2 linked regions of the Sus scrofa genome follow. The protein of the gene in region 1 interacts with the protein of each later gene in a biochemical or structural test. Links are inferred from orthologs where the notes say so. Each region holds a gene or a part of one and is shown on either strand. Other genes may lie near its edges.

What was found.
Region 2: the proteins of GRB2 (region 1) and ABL1 form a complex in vitro, tested with the Homo sapiens proteins (3 studies listed by BioGRID). The link is inferred for Sus scrofa from reciprocal best matches to the Homo sapiens genes GRB2 and ABL1.

The regions. Positions count from the first base shown.
Region 1 is NC_010454.4:6,002,775-6,006,922, reverse strand, and holds part of GRB2 (growth factor receptor-bound protein 2), read right to left. Parts: intron 2,357-4,148; coding exon 2,234-2,356; intron 1-2,233. UniProt on the Homo sapiens protein: Non-enzymatic adapter protein that plays a pivotal role in precisely regulated signaling cascades from cell surface receptors to cellular responses, including signaling transduction and gene expression.
Region 2 is NC_010443.5:270,900,708-270,904,855, reverse strand, and holds part of ABL1 (tyrosine-protein kinase ABL1), read right to left. Parts: intron 1,813-4,148; coding exon 107-1,812; 3' UTR 1-106. UniProt on the Homo sapiens protein: Non-receptor tyrosine-protein kinase that plays a role in many key processes linked to cell growth and survival such as cytoskeleton remodeling in response to extracellular stimuli, cell motility and adhesion, receptor endocytosis, autophagy, DNA damage response and apoptosis.

The DNA.
Region 1 (4,148 bases):
CCCACAGACACCGTGCTGTCGGCCCAGCACATCAGCTCCACCAAGGCGCTGCCCGTCCCTCACAAGGCACTCTACAACCATCTGCAAAACGAGCGGAGGACTCTCTTCTGCCATTGGTTTTAAGGCATTAACGCGTCTTAAAAACAACCCAGCAGGTGGCAGCACTGAGCTTTAAGGAAGCCACGAGTAGGAAGCGCTTAGAAACAGCACTGCTATTTCAAGAGAAAAAAGATGGACGAGGATAAAAGCCGTATGAGGAAGAAGGGCATTCAAATGGCACTTCTGGCCCGTGGAAGGGCACTCCCACCGTGTAACAGAGGTGGTTCCTGAAAGGGGTACAGGGTCCCTGACGGTGAGCTGTTAACTCCCGAAGTTTTTCCATCACGGACCCACAACGCCTTGAAACGAGAGACTGGATTCCCGAAGCTCCTCTAGAAGAATGCTTATGTGTGGAAGGTGGTTAGGACATCTGCTTCGAATTTCTAAAACAAACTCTTTAAAGGTTTTACGTGATAAAATGGAACATGGTCTGGGAGCTGCCCAGTGGGCACCGCAGGGCATGGGCAGGGACTAGTCATCAGACAACTGAACACCAGCTGCCTCAGGGTTTGGGGCCATCATTCAATCACCAGTTAATGGCTTGTATTCTTGGTCTTCCTCGGCCGGATTTATACTCAGGTCAGTATAAAGTGTAAGGAAAACCGACGAAGAAACCAGAGTTAATGAGAAGCATAAAGCCTTTTCCACCTCAAGGTGCTCTTCACCCACCAGATCCTCATTTGCATGTGTTTAATCAAGCACATCAAAAAGCCACTGTTTCTATGCATGTGAGTGGGAGTCGGGGTACTCGGGAAATCTCTGTACCTTCCAGTTGATTTTTCTGTGAACTTAAACCTGCTCTAAAAAACCAAAGTCTACTTAAAAAAAAAAAAAGCCACTGTTAAAAGAGGAAAACTGAAAATCAGATCCAGCTTGATTTTTTTCATGTTGGGACTAGACCTAGCTATACTGGAAACATTATCTGTAAGATACTGCAAATATCACCTGAAACCACCTCCCACAACTTCACTGAGAAAAAGGATACAAAAAATTTAAACTTAAATCTACATTAAAAAACCCCTACACTTTAACCACTCATTTGGTCCCAAAATGAAACAAGGTATTCAGTTGATTTTTTTTTTTTTTTTTGCTTTTTAGGGCTGCACCTGCAGCATATCGAAGTTCCCAGGCTAGAGGTCAAACTGGAGCTACAGCTGCTGGCCTACACCACAGCCACAGTAATGCTGGATCCTTAACCCACTGAATGAGGCCAAGGATCAAACCCATGTCTTCATGGATACTAGTCAGGTTTGTTACTGATGAGCCATGACGGGAACGCACCCAGTTTATTTTTGAGACTGAAAAATCTTTATATCATCTGTAAATGGAAAATAAAATATTTTACAGCCTCCATTTAAAAATAATGTAAATCCATACTAAAGCGAGCTGAGTTTTAATCTAATCACCTCCGCCATATAAACAATGAAGTGATTTGTAAGATTCCTAGGTCAGGGTTTCTTGTGATATTAACTAGAAATGGACTGAATCAAAATGTATGGAAATGACAACTTTGAAATCTTTGTCACGGATGGGGAGTGATTAGTTTAGTGTTGTCAAAGTTCCAATTTGTATTCTCTGTGATTCCCAAGATGGTAAAACTCCCGGTACTCCCCCATTCTGAGCACACAGCTCCCTGCCAACGTTACATTCCCCACCGGGGAAAGAAACCCTTGTGTTTGAAGTCAATGGGAGGCCTAGGATGATGCTGGCAGATTTAGCTAGACACCTGGTAAAGGGGCACAAGGGAGCTGATCACTTACAGAGCTGCAGGAAGCCCAGAAAGGGCAGGATGTTCGGAGGAGGAAAGAGTGGTGTATGTGGAGAGCATTGCAGAGTGGTGGGGACTGGGGAAAAGAGGGAAGTGTGCGCTCTCTCAAGTGCTGCCGCTGCTCAGCCACTGAAGACTTCCCTCTTGGGAGTCCTAAACCCAGTATTGCTGGAGCTGCTAGATTCTTTAGAGGAACCAGAAATGAGGATTTTAATGTAAGCTTTTCTGATGTGTAAAATACTGCCAAAGCTAAACCTTAACCAGTGTGCCACCTTTGGTGCATGTAGTCAGACGCCTGGCCTCTGGCTTCACAACTGCCATCAGCTGGAGACAGGCTTCCAGGCGACCAGAGCAGGAAGTACTTACTTGACAGAGAGGGAGAAATCCCCAGGAGCGCTCTCGCTCTCACGGATGAGAAAGGCCCCATCGTGCCGCTGTTTGCTAAGCATTTCTTCTGCCTTGGCTCTGGGGATTTTGCCAAAAAACCACCTAAGGAAGGAAGGCAAACCAGTCAACATCTGCTTCCCCACAAAGAAACGGGATATCCAGCCTCCGAAATGTGAGGAACCGAGAACTCCTCGCCAAAGGAGGGGCCCCTCTCCCCTGCCAGTCCCGCCCGTCCCGACCACGCCTTGAGAGAGGGACCAGATCCCTTCAAAGCCTTCTCGCTTCCCCACTCTCCAGAGTGACTCAGAAGACACCATCGTGGGCCACTCTTTCTACAGAGAAAGACACCTGAACATGGGCCTCCTGGGCCAAAGCCCACTGGGGCCCCTCCTGACTCATCAGCAAGGCAGCGGGGAAAGCCCAGGCCTACTGACTTAAGCACAGGATGAACCACAGAGGGGGAGATGGGCCCTTCCTGCAGCCATTTGATAAGGCGGCAGCCTTGCCACATGGGATGGAGAGACAGGGACAGGGAAGCTGGAAGGCCCAGAAGCTGCAGGCAGGGCTACTTCTTGTAACAGCACAAAGGGGAAAGGTCCTGGCGGTGAAGAGCCCCAGGTGGTGGCGGCGGTTTGCATTCCTCTCAGGCCTCTCTCTGCCGTCACCGCTCAGGGTTTGGCTTTTAGGAGCCGTCGGGAATATGCCATAATTCACCCTGTGCAGAGGCAGCTAGTTGCAAATTTCGAATTTTCATTTGGAGCAAGTTATAGATTCTTCTGCTCCCAGTGCTCATTCACTTTGGTCACGAGAGAAAGCAGGGGAACTCAGGGAAAGTGTGGGAGCCCCGGGGGCCGACCAGGAGGAAGAGGAGCAGCAATCTCGTCACAGCCACCTCCCTTTCCACAGGGAAGCCCTAACTAACTGGGAGAGATGACTGGAAACTCAGTGCTCTGTGCCAAGCTGTCTTTACCGAGCTAATACTTTAAAAAAGCAACAACGCTACTTATAAGCGAATAAAGACCTATGGGCCTCATCAGACTCCTTACGGGGCAGCTAACAGGCAGTGTATCCGCAAACCAGAAAAGCAAAGGCACCAAAGCATCAACTAAGGTTCTAAACCTACCACACATCCATCTTACTTATAAGCAACTGCACCACAAGATGCCTCTGAAATAATACACTATACTAAAATCCCAACAGAAGGACGTGAGCTGCGAGGAAGGGTACAGTCAGAAGTTGCCATCAATAACCTAAAACAGCCCTAAAATCTGCATCCTTGTGTCTTTCGCACTTGGGGTGCTATAACGCCGAGCTGCGCGGAGGAGCTGGTACAACCGACCTGCCTTCCTGCCCTGACACATAACTCGAGGCGAAGGCCTCCAGTGCCCACAGAGAAATTGCGGATTAGCACGGCAGGATGCCCTCCGACTGGGCAAGGACAGCTCACAGCACGGGGACGCGTGAGCACTGTCTTGGTCCCTGGGCGCTTGGTTTACTGGTTTACGAGGCCCCCGCGCAGCAGGCATCTGGCTGGGAGCCACATTCTTTCCTCCTGCCCCCCCCCCCCCCCATTTTCCCACCAGATAGGCATTTTCCTTTCTGTTTCCCCTTTTTAAGGTAAAAGTAATGAATATGAATTAAAATAGCGTAGATGTGCGTGAAGTAAAAATAAAAAGCAGGGCTCCTCCCTCAAGCTCCCTGGGGCAGCGATGCTGGCTGGTGGTTAGAGGCCTGTGTTTTCAGACCTGCCCTCACAGGGCACAGATATACAGAGCTGGTGGCACTGCTTTCCCAGCTGAAAAGCCACTCATTTTTATTTTCCATTAACAAACAAACAAACACCCGCAGTGAGGCAAAACACTCTACCTGGAATTTTTACAAAGTAAACACACCC
Region 2 (4,148 bases), on another chromosome or scaffold:
CTGCCCGGAGCAGGGCTCCCGGGCCAAGGTCCCCGCTTGCTGGTCCTCTGTCAGCCACCGTCAAGGGCACGGGGAGCCCTCACACACTCTGGACGCCCAGCTTCTGCTACCTCTGCACGATGTCACTGATCTCCTTCACGGAGCTGAGGAGCTTGCTGAAGTCCTGGGTGGCCGCTGGGCCACTCCCTGCTGTCGCCGGGCAGATCTGAAGCTCGCGAAGACTGTTCTCCAGTTTGTTGATGGCCTCGCGAAAGGCGAACTTGTTCCTCATCTGCTGGATGGAGTCCACGTAGCTCACGCAGAACGTGTAGAGGTTCTTGCCGGCTTCGAGCACGGCGCTGTGGCTGGCCATCTGCTCAGAGTTCCTGGAGACGGCCAGGCACAGGGCCTCGGTGCCGTCCAGTACCATGCCCTTGGTGATGGCGCCGCTGGCAATCCGCTCCGGAGGCTGGCGGGTTTTCCGAAGAGACACGCGGGTCGATATGAGAGGGATGAAGGCGGTGGAGGACGGCTGGTCCCCCGCCAGGGCAGAGGATGCTGTCGGCAGCGTGCAGGGAGCAGAGGCTGGGCTGGTTGGGGTCCCGGCTGGCTTGGTGGACGACTGTGGCTTTGGCACGGACGGGAGCACAGGCTTTTTGACACCGTCTCCCAGCTGGCTGGGTTTGGCAGCGTCACTGTTCACGGCATCCACAGCCAGAGCCGCAGGCTTCGCCTTCCCACTGGGGCCTACCTCCCCGGCTGCCTCCTGGCTCGGGCTCTGAGAGGACTTCCCCACCTTCCCAACAGAGGCGGGCGGTGGGGGCGGCGGGGCAGGCTTGAGTTTGGACAGCTTTCCCTTGTCCCTCCCTGGGGACTCGGAGGCGGGCTTGTGCCTCCTCACTCTGGACTCCTCGCCAGGGGCCTTGCTGGGCCCTCCAGAGGCACCTGGCCCGGCCCTGCTGGTGGGGGGCCCCGGCTCAGCAGGTGCCCCCAAGGCACTGCACTTTCCGGCGTCTTCCTTGTGGGGAAGGCTGGAGGAAGATGGAACCTGCCTACGGAGGAGTTTCGGAGTCAGGGTGGGAGGGCTGGAGCCCGGGCTGGACTCGGCTGTGTCTCTGAAAACCTCGTCAGCTTCTTCCTCGGTCTTCTTCGCCAGCCGGGGTGGCGGGGTGACGGTGCCTCTGGTCACCTGGTCGGACCTGTTCTCACTGGCCCGCTTCCGCGGCAGAGCTGGCTTCTCACTTTTGTGCCCCCCAAATGTGGACGAGTCAAACTGTCTTCCCGTGGACTGCAGGTCCCGAGGCAGCGTGACCGACCGCCACTCTGTGTCCTTGGCCCCGTGGGGCACGCAGGAGGCAGAGCAGGACCTCAGGAAGCGCTTGCTGGAGCTGCCGCCGCTCTCCTCCTCGCTGGCTGCTAACCGGCTGCTGGTCAGGGTGCTGGACTTCTTCCACAGGTGGGGGGACCGGAAGCCGGCGCCCCCGGACTCCCGGAAGGCTCCGTTGGGCACGCCGGCCCCGCCGCTGGGCTTTGGGGACTTGGCTGGCTCGGCCGCATCCGAGGGTGCGAGCGCGAGCGCCCCGTTGCTGGCTTCCCGGCCCTCGTCCTCGACGGCCCCTCTGCGCTCGGGCTGGCCGTCCATCTCCCGGAAGGAGCTGCTGCGTTTGGGAGGGGTCGGGGCGGTCTTCTTCTTCTTCTTGATCAAGGCGCTGAACAAGTTGGTCTTCTTGTCTTTGGGGAGCAGGCGCTCGTCTTCGTTGAGGCCGCCGTCCTGAGGGCCGCGCTCTTTTCGAGGCAGCAGCGGAGACACGGCCGGCTCGTGGTCCGGAGGATCTGAAACACACCGGGGAGAGTTGAACGGCTCCAGGCCAGAGGCTGCGGAGCGAGCGGGGAACCTCGCGGGCCGGCCGGCCGGCCCGTTCCTACAGAGCAGCGGGCTGGGCACCGGCTCTGACGGGCTCTCACCCGGGCCGGCGGCTTCTCTGTGCTCACCCTCACTTTCTCATCTGTAAAGCGGGGGACCGTGAGGCCTACCCAGACGCTGTCCCCAGAAAGTAACGCCGCAATGAACGTGGAGCCTTCACCACAGCTCTTGGCACGAAATTTCTAACTGCAGCCCCCGTGGTGAGTAGTGCTGTTAGGAAAAGCTCAGGTCCCTCCCCTTGAAGACAGCAGACCAAAAAGCTGGGACACTCCCCGTCCTTTAAAGAAGCAGAGTCCCCTCAACCCCACTGTCTGGTGAGTAAAAGGCAGGACCAGGCCGAGCGCAGGGTCAGAACCTGTGCCTCTCAGACCCGTCAGCCGGCTGAGGCTCCCACGAGGTAAGATCAGGAGGGACGGGCCACCTACCACAGGGCGCGGGGACAATGGGCTATTACGCTTGGGAAACAAGAAGGGTGACCTTTAAACATTTTTAAATGGACATTCTTTAAATGTGAATAACAGCTCCTAAGAAATCTTTCTGGTGTTGCCAAGCTCCCCGTGAGTGAATGACAGAACTCTCTCAGAGGGCAGCTGCTAGGGCCTGCTGTCAGCATCCTGTAACTCGAAGCAGAGGGACAAGGGGCATTTGTCAGCATACCAGGCAGCACACAGGACCTGTGAATCAGGGAAGGCTGAGGAGCGCCCCGAACCTTCACCCAGCGGAAGGGGGCGAAGACAGCGAAGTTCTAATGAATCACGCACAGCCCACCTCCGTGCTCAACAGCTAATGGGCACTCCGGGTGCACCGAGATACCACACACCAAAATACTCCTCAGATGAATGAATACCGGCGGGCAAAACGAACACGGCTGCTTATCACCGGGCTTTTAATAAGCCGCTAGTTTTCACAGTAGCCTCTCCTCCCCTCCGCTACCTGAAACCACGACGAGCAGAGATGAAGGGGGTGGTCAGGTATATGGGAAAAGATGTGACAGAGAATGGATGTGTGCATGTGTATGGTTGAATCACAGCTGAAGCTGCTGCAGCGCTGTCCATCACCTGGGCTTCAATAAAACTTCATGGGAAAAAAAAGAGAAAAAAGAAGGACCAGAGGAGCAGATGCGGGATAGCTGACGTGCCATCATGCTATCAGAGTGGGGGCGCAAGATGGTCCAGGGGTGTGCAAAGTAAGCACTACAGTTTAGCTGTTCCTCTTTCTTTTCCTATGGACACACAGGTGGCTTATGGAAGTTCCTGGACCAGGGACTAAATCCATGCCACAGATGCCACCTATGCCTCAGCTGTGGCAACACTGGATCCTTTGACCCACTGTGCCAGGCTAGGGATCGAACCTGCACCTCTGTAGCAGCCTGAGCCACTGCAGTTGGATTTTTAACCCACTGCACCACAGCAGGAACTCAAGGAATTTTTTGGCTTTGCCTGTGGCATGTGGAAGTTCCTGGGCCAAGGATCGAACCTGTACCACGGCAGCAACCTGAGCCGCTGCAGCCATGACAAAGTTAGATCCTTCACCTGCTGTGCCACAGGACAATTCCCTCAACTTTATTTTTTTTTATTTTTTTATTTTTTGTCTTTTTTTTTTGCTATTTCTTGGGCCGCTCCCGCGGCATATGGAGGTTCCCAGGCTAGGGGTCGAATCGGAGCTGTAGCCACCGGCCTACGCCAGAGCCACAGCAACGCGGGATCCGAGCCGCGTCTGCAACCTACACCACAGCTCACGGCAACGCCGGATCCTTAACCCACTGAGCAAGGGCAGGGACCGAACCCGCAACCTCATGGTTCCTAGTCGGATTCGTTAACCACTGCGCCACGACGGGAACTCCCAATTCCCTCAACTTTAAAACATTAACAGAGGTACATGATGACAAAGCTGGGCATCATGGGGGTCTACAGACTCTGCTGTGGCTAGACACCCCACAGCCCTGCCCTGTCCCTTCCCCTTCCCCCGGGTGTGGTCCGTCAGAGCATCCCCAAGGAGCTGCTACCCACCCAGGCGCCTGGTCCACCTCGGGCGTGTCCATTCATTGGCCTGACGGGAACCCAGACCTCCCAATTTCCTTTCCTGTCGGGGCTGAATCGGAGCGGCCTAACCCAGCGTCACGCCTGGCGCAAAGGAAGCATCGGACCCACACTTTCGAATGCTGTTCCTGGTAACATCCTAGGACCCTCCCGAACGGCTCCCACGCCCTCGCCGTGGGTCTAGGGAGCAGCCCCAGAAGGAGCCT